2 linked regions of the Callithrix jacchus genome follow. The protein of the gene in region 1 interacts with the protein of each later gene in a pairwise test. Links are inferred from orthologs where the notes say so. Each region holds a gene or a part of one and is shown in the gene's direction. Other genes may lie near its edges.

Region 1 (4,578 bases):
GAGGAAGAAGAGTTCACAACAAGGAAAAGAGAGAAGGCATGAATGACATTTAAGACAGAGGGAGCAGCACCTGCAAACGCATGGAGGCATGAACTAGCAGGTTGAGTTTTAGGACTCAACCTAAAGCAGTCTGGAGTAAATGAACTCCATGATGAGTGTGGCAAAGCGTGAGTTGGTGAGATTACAAACATTACCAGAAGTCAGGTCACAGAAATTCGAGGGCAGGAACTAGGTATGGCTGCAGAAGGGAAAGGGAGGAGCCGAGGATAACGCCCAGATTTCTGGCACAGCCCTGGGTGGATTTAGTGGGACTGCTGTGGAGGCGCAGCAGCTGCTGGGGAGAATTATGAGTCCAGTTTGGATAACATGCAGGAGGTAAACGGGATCCAGAAGGCAACTAGACTCTCAGGCCCGGGCCTCCCTGTCCCTGGAACAGCACCCTCTTTTCACCCACTTGAATATCCATCCTACATGGCCCAGTCTTCTTCCTCCCTCCAGGAGACCTTCCAGATTGCCCTAGCCTTTTTCCTATACGCCAGACCCAACTGTCTGAGTCCCTCATAACTGGCTTTTGGTCTGATTTTGCTGCGGGAACTGATTTACCCGGCGAAGCCAAGAACCCTTCCCTAGGCAGCAGAGGCCCAATCAGTCACTGGTAGGTGGGACCCGAGGCGAATCTGCGTAGGATAGGGCGGGGCCTTTTTAGCTTAGCAATGGGTCAGAAGTCACTGCCAGACAAGAAACGGGTGAGAGGGTGGGAGGAAGGGTGACGTCACAATTGGTAGGAAATACCTTGGGACCTGACGCCTCCGAAACCAAAGGGCGCGCAAGAGCAGCCTGGAGCTCACGGGTCGGTCTGGTTCTCCTCCTTTCCCACGGCTGCCTTAGTACAGAATCTTATAAGTCCTCCTTCGGAGGCTAAAATGGTGTTCAGAGGCCAGGGGAGTTTAAAGCTCGATTTCACCCTCGCAGCCTCCAATCCGGTAAAGAGGGGCCGCGGAGCCCGACCGAGCCTTCCTATCCCTTTACTCTGGTGCTTTACCTGATTTATTTTTGTGGATGCCGGCGCCAGCTACGGGTGCCCAGAGAAAGCACGAGACCGGGCGGACTCTAGTAACCCACCCGACCAACAACCCACGCGGCATGGAGGCCGCCATTTTCCACTCCGCAGCCGCCAGAGATCGTGGGAGTCACGCCTAGCCGCGCCTGAGTCCGGGTGGGCGAGACGCACTCCAGACACTGCCGCGTCACTTGGCGGGGTTTCTGCGCAGGCGCCGTAGCTCTTAGCAACCGCCGTAACCTGTAGCAACGGGGAGATGTCGCTTCCGGCTGGTTTGGGGCGGCGGCGGGGGTTGTGGGAGTTTCGAGATCGTGGAACGATGTGACAAATGGGAAACTGAGGCCAGGGTGGAGGCAGGCCCTAAGGACCGCGTTGGCCCTCTCTCCTGGACTCGCGCAGTGGATGGAGCTTGTGCCTCGTGGCTCCTATTTCCCAAAGCAGGAAATTGAGGCCAAGGGAAGGGGCAGGTTTGTCCCGAGTCTATAGCCTAGGTGATGGTTCCCCCGGGTAAAAAAATCAATATGAGGCCCTGTCTTTATAAAGGAGAAGTCAGGGAAATGAAAGCAATTTCTAATAAAAGAATATGCATTTCACTTTGTAAAAGCTGAGGCTGGCTTACACCCGATCATGCTTATACCTAACTTAGGAGTCAGCTTAGATCTACTGGAAGAGAATATTCAGCTGGATTTTGCCAACAGTTTATATCTGACATCTTGAATCAAAGGCTAAATATATTTGTGTAGAAGCGTGGAGCCACTCTGACAGCTACACATGCTCACAGACGTGGGCATGCTGTTCTAGTGACTCACCCATGGTGAGCAGGGTGGGCAGTGATTTTCTAGAATGGTGAGCACAGTGTAACTCCCCACAACTAACCTACTGTATGCATTTCCAGACAATCTTGTCTGTATTAAAACTAGGGAAAAATTCACTGTGATTGTATATTCAACCAACTATAACAGATTTTTGGCCTATTTGAAGGTTTGATCTGAAAGTTGTGTGGGACAGGACCATTTGTTGTGGTGACTGTAATGGACTGTCCCATCCATTACAGGAGTTTCATATCCTGCCCCCCTCCCAGGGATATGACTGTCCCCTCAGTCTTGTGACACCCAAAAATACCCGCACAAATTTCCAATCTGTTCCTTGGAAAACCACTGATTTATTCAGTCAAACAATTTCTGCTAGCACACGTGTGCTGGGCAGTGTCGTGGTGGGAAAGGATCGAGTGTGAACAGGACAGAGCTCCTGCCCTTGTGAGTGAAGTCACATCACCCCAGCACAGGCCCCTCAGTTTCCTGTGCCACCAGCAGGCATGCCTTTGTCATGTGTACCTGTCACATGTGGGTTCAGTGGGGTGAACAGGACACACCTTGACCCCTCAGAACTGAAGTCAGCATAATTAGTGAGTTCAGGCGGGAGACTGAAATTCAGCCCAGCACTGTCCCGGGGCAGTGACCGTGCTGCCTGGGAGCCAGGGGAGGCCTGTCCCACAGGAACTGAGGGTGACCAAGAAGGGATCCATTGAAGTAGACTGCCTCGGCGAAGCCTGGAGGAGTGACAGAGCCAGTGGTTAGTGGGTAAAGGAAGGAACCCAGAAAGGCAGACTGCTTCCCCACATTTCGTCAGGAAGGAAATAAAACATGTCTTGAGACGTCATCATTCCTTTCACTTTCTCTGGGCACCTTGCTCAGAGACCCTGCTGATTCTCCCCAGGACAATGAGAAGGTGTTTAGTGAATGAATGTTCAGGGTGCCTCTCCATCCCCCATTCCTGCCTCCCTCTGAGCAGTGCTCTGTTGAGTGTCTATGTTCTGCTACAGTTTGTGTGATAGTCTTTATAAATTTCCTACTGGTCTTACTTCACTGTGGCCAAGATTAAAAGTTGACAGTAAGGCTGGAGATGGGTGGAATACAGTAGAGCTCCAATATTGAGAGGGAATTCGGGGCGGAGTTCCGGGAGGGATTCTAAGTGCCCTGATGCCTTTCTGTTTGAATATTAACTTCCAGCCCGCTTGCTGTTACAAATGTCTTTGACTCCTCTCAAGGGGGCATGAGCTTTGTCTTCATCCCTCCCCACCCTCTGCGCTCTGCAGGGTGTTCCGAGAAGCAGCCATGTCGTCCCTGTACCCATCCCTGGAGGACCTAAAAGTGGACCAAGCCATTCAGGTAAGTCGCCAGGCGCTGAAGGGGACCTTGAGGATTACCCTGGAAGGAGCTGGGTATTGGGGCCACTTGGAAATTCCTGTAGGCCTCAGGGCATGTAGGTCTCCACTGCAGGGCCTGCTGGGCAGAGAAGGCATCTGGAGGCAATGCCAGTGGTGTTACAGAGAGAATGGACGAGACCACGCAGCTGCACACATGCCTCTCTCATTCCCGCTCTGGCCCGCCCAGTCCCAGCTCTCCCTCCGTCCAGGATGGGCAGGCCCCATGCTCTGAGGCAGGCTTTCAGAGGAAACAAGACTCTGGGTGTGGGAATTGGCCTGCTCAGCCCCAGTGCCCCCTTGTCCCTCCATCCCAGCACTCTGTGGTTCCAGTGGGTTTTGAGAATTTGGAACTTCTCAGCTGAGAATTTGATTGGGAGATGGGCCTTGATGTTCTTCCTTCTGCAGGCAGTAAATGAGTTGTGGCATATGGTGGGTCACAGTCCTCAGAACTTCCTCCCAGGAAAAGACACATCTGCAGAGGCCACATTTATGTGATCTTGAGCCCTGAGGGTTGGTGGACGCTCCCCCCTCACACCCGGGGCCCACTCACATACCTGATGCCCAGACCCTGGCCTCGTGCAGCTCCAGGCTCTGGGGTTCCTGGAGTCCTGGCCACAGCTGACCAGTGCTCCCTGCCCCTTTCTAGGCCCAGGCCAGAGCCTCACCCAAGATGCCAGCCCTGCCAGTCCAGGCGGCAGCCATTTCTCCAACACCAGGTGAGTGAGCTGGGTTGGGGGGCTCCTGGGTGCCCAGTCCGTTCAGGGAAGAGGTCATCAGGGAAGCTTGGCAATGCCAAAGGTATGGGAGGCTCCTAGGTTATGATTCAACATGGCAGAGGAAAGGACCAGGCTTCCATTTGCTACCCACATGTTACTGCCTGGGTGACCTGGGCCGAGGCACTTCACTTCCCAGAGCCTGTGCCCATGCTGCTCCCTTCCTACCCGATGGCCTGGCGAACTCCTGTTTATCGTTCCAAACCCAACTTAGAGTTAGGGAAGCTGGGTCTTCTCTGATGCCTCCAGCAAGGCTGCCTTGAGAATGTGGTATCATTTGTGGGGACCTCTGTCTAAATAAACAATTGGAGTCACCTCAGTTTAGCATGTCAGCACTATTCTGGTGACCCAATCTCATGTGACCTCAGGAATGAAATACCACACTTGCCAGACTTCCTTGCTGGAACTGTGGCTGGCCTGGGGTGGGGGCAGGTGGGGGAGAAGTGGATGGCAAATAGCGCCCCAAAGAGAGAAGGGACCAGAACCCCACTTGCCTTATTCAGCTCAGGCTGCCATAACAAAATACCATAGGCTGGATG
Region 2 (3,178 bases), on another chromosome or scaffold:
CATATCTGGTCCAAAGTAGTTAAAATAAAGATGATGAAATAGTAACAAGCTATATGAGGTTTAAATAGAGCCAGTTGTTACACTGCAGCTTTATTCTAACATTATCACCTCTGAAATGTAATATAGTAGATACTCTTATCTTGAATTCCAACCAAGAGAATTAAGTTGCTGAAGCAACAATATCTTACAAAGAGAGGAGTGTAGTTTACAGCAGTTAGGCAATCCCCAAAACATCAAACCAAAGGATAACATGCTAGTAAAGCTCAGTATATACATATATATATATAATCGGAATCATGTAAAATTGCTTTTGGCCAGGCACGATGGCTCATGCCTGAAATCCCAGCACTTTGGGAGGCCGAGGCAAGTGGATCACTCAGTCAGGAGTTCAAGACCAGCCTGGCCAACATGGTGCAACCCCGTCTCTACTAAAAATACAAAAATTAGCTGGGCGTAGGTACACGCGCATGTTATCCCAGGTACTTGGGTGGCTGAGGCAGGAGAATTGCTTGAACCTGGGAGGCAGAGGTTACAGTGGGTCAAGATTGCGCCACTGCACTCCAGCCTGGGCGACAGAGCAAGACTCCATCTTAAAAAGAAAATAAAAAAGAAATTGCTTTTAACATTCTATTAAATGTGCCTTCCAATATATTTAATTGTGTATTGTCTAATAGGTCTAAGAGTGTAACCAGTTCAAGTAGCAGTAGCAATGGCAGTTCAGCCAGTGATTCTTCATCAGAAAGTGAAGAAACATCTACCTCATCCTCCTCAGAGGACAGTGACACTGATGAAAGCTCCTCTAGTTCCTCATCCTCAGCCTCCTCCACAACCTCATCCTCCTCCTCTGATTCAGACTCAGATTCCAGTTCTTCTAGTAGCAGCAGCACCAGCATGGATAGCAGCTCTGAGGATGAACCACCAAAGAAGAAGAAAAAGAAATAGTTGTTCCATCCATATTGGACTGATGGACCGAAAACATTAATGTGATTCTTGAAAGGGAATTTAGAATATGTTAAGGCCAAATAGGTTAACTGGTGAAAATTTTTAGAATTCAAAAGTTTCTAAATGTTTTATATTGCAAGAGCATAAAGAGTATTAATAATGAATTATATATAGAGAGAGACTTTTTTATTTGAAGGGTGAATCCTGTTTTTCATTTTTTTCTTTAAAATATCTCTCTAGAACTTAAAGCTGAAATCTCCAAATCTGTTTGTGTGATGAAACTATCTTTTCTTTCTGTGAAATAAATGCCATACTTTGTTATATATGTTAGTGGTATATACCAGACATATTTTCAGGATGGTGCATCAGAATATTTGGCAGTGAATTTCTAATGCTTTTGGCTATGAATTATGTAAGATTTAATATATTGTTACTGTAAGCATAGGAGTTTTCCTATTGTTAATAAATGTGCTCTATTTTTACATTTATGTTCAGAAAGTTATTCTGACTTTTTGTCCTAAGTGGTATGTTCAAGGAGCCTATTAATATATTTATAGTTTTTGAATGCTACAAGTTTCAAGTTGCTGTGTTACATCATTCATTTTCTTCTGGTTCCTTAAGTTTTTCAAGTTATCCTTTTATAAGGAAAATTTTTCTAGAGGAACCTAAAAAGGGAGAAAAAATCTGAAACTACTTAGGAGTGTAATCTTGGTGCCTTCCGACAGTCAGTGTATCAGAAAAGAAAGCAGCCATGTAAGAGGCTAACTTAAGCAGAAGTACTAGAAATATCTTCGTGTATTAACATGCAATAAAAGGTACCATTCAAAGCAGGGGAAAGGTAGGAGGAAGAGGTAATTTTTACTGCAAATTAGGGCAGCCTTGGTCACCTTTTATTAAAAGCTTTTTTAAGCTTTCATAAAGATTGCCTTTTGTTATTTTTGCAATTATTATAGTATAGTTTATATGCTAACTAGTCATTTAACAGTCTAGTGCATAAATATGAATGACTAGGATTAATCTGGTGTGGTTACATAGGATATACATAGTTGAAATCTAGCATGAAAGGCTAAAAAGAAAATGCTGCACAATATTTCTTTAAAAATAAAATGTTACTGAGGCAAGAGTCTTTGGTTTAACATCACAGTATTCTGTGATGTCTTTTTAACTTTTTGGAAAGAGGTATCATTTGTAGAAAAATTTTGATTTGGGTTAAATACAGGTTTTTAAAACTATAAATGTCTTATATTTTTATGAAAAAGCAGTGGAAAATTACTTTTGAAGAAAATTAGCTATTTAAATATTAAAATATACGTATGTTGTGAGTTTAGGGAACCTGTAATTACTTGTCGGTTTTACAAAACCATCTGTGTTCAGTGGTTGTAAATAAATTCTCAAAACAATTTCAAAAGCTGCCTACAGAATATTATCACTTGACAGATAAAGTTAATAAATTACCAATCAGGCACATTTGATAATGTTTGTCTCTGTAAAGGTAATGTGAGCAGTTAAAGAACATGGATGAGAAAAGAATGTGTTAACATAGGTTGCATCACTTGCAGTTAAATAAAACTCAACAATTTGTGCTCACAAGCTTCAGCTTCTGTTATCTCTTTACTGTTTTATTTAATCCCAATTCTTACTCCATTTGAGATGTAAGGGCATTTGAACAAATTCTAATTTTAAAGTTTTACTATTAGGGCTGTTAAAAGTATGACTGGGCCAGATGCAGTGGCTCACACCTGTAATCCCAGCACTGGGAGGCCAAGGTGGGTGGATCATTAGGTCAGGAGTTCGAGACCAACCTGGCCAAGGTGGTGAAACCCCATCTCTACTAAAAAATAAAAATAAATAGCCAAGCACAGTGGTGCCCACCACTGTGATCCCAGTTACTCAGTAGGCTGAGGCAGGAGAATCGCTTGAACCCCAGAGGCAGAGGTTACAGTGAGCCAGGATTGCGCCACTGGGCTCTAGCCTAGGCTAGAGAGCAAGACTCTTGTCTCAAAAAAAGAAAGTATGACTGAGAGGTACAGAGAGCAGGAGCTCAATTCTTCTAGTACATTTCTTTCATTCAAAAAGAATCAGGCTGGTCACAGTGGCTCATGCCTATAATCCCAACACTTTAAGAGGCTCAGATGGGAGAATCACTTGAGTCCAGGAGTGTGAGACCAGCCTGGGCAACATAGTAAGACTTCTTCTCTACAAAAAATTGAAAAAAATTGAAAAATTTGTTGGGCAT

The links.
Region 2: the proteins of SDCBP2 (region 1) and ZCCHC10 interact in binary tests that used the Homo sapiens proteins (3 or more experiments, as listed by UniProt). The two-hybrid records come from large-scale screens. The link is inferred for Callithrix jacchus from reciprocal best matches to the Homo sapiens genes SDCBP2 and ZCCHC10.

What each region holds. Positions count from the first base shown.
Region 1 is NC_133506.1:9,012,584-9,017,161, reverse strand, and holds the start of SDCBP2 (syntenin-2), read left to right. Parts: upstream 1-1,310; 5' UTR 1,311-1,462; coding exon 1,463-1,527; exon of another isoform or gene 1,528-1,551; intron 1,552-3,069; exon of another isoform or gene 3,070-3,155; coding exon 3,156-3,228; intron 3,229-3,912; coding exon 3,913-3,982; intron 3,983-4,578.
Region 2 is NC_133503.1:75,432,371-75,435,548, forward strand, and holds the end of ZCCHC10 (zinc finger CCHC domain-containing protein 10), read left to right. Parts: intron 1-674; coding exon 675-942; 3' UTR 943-2,532; downstream 2,533-3,178.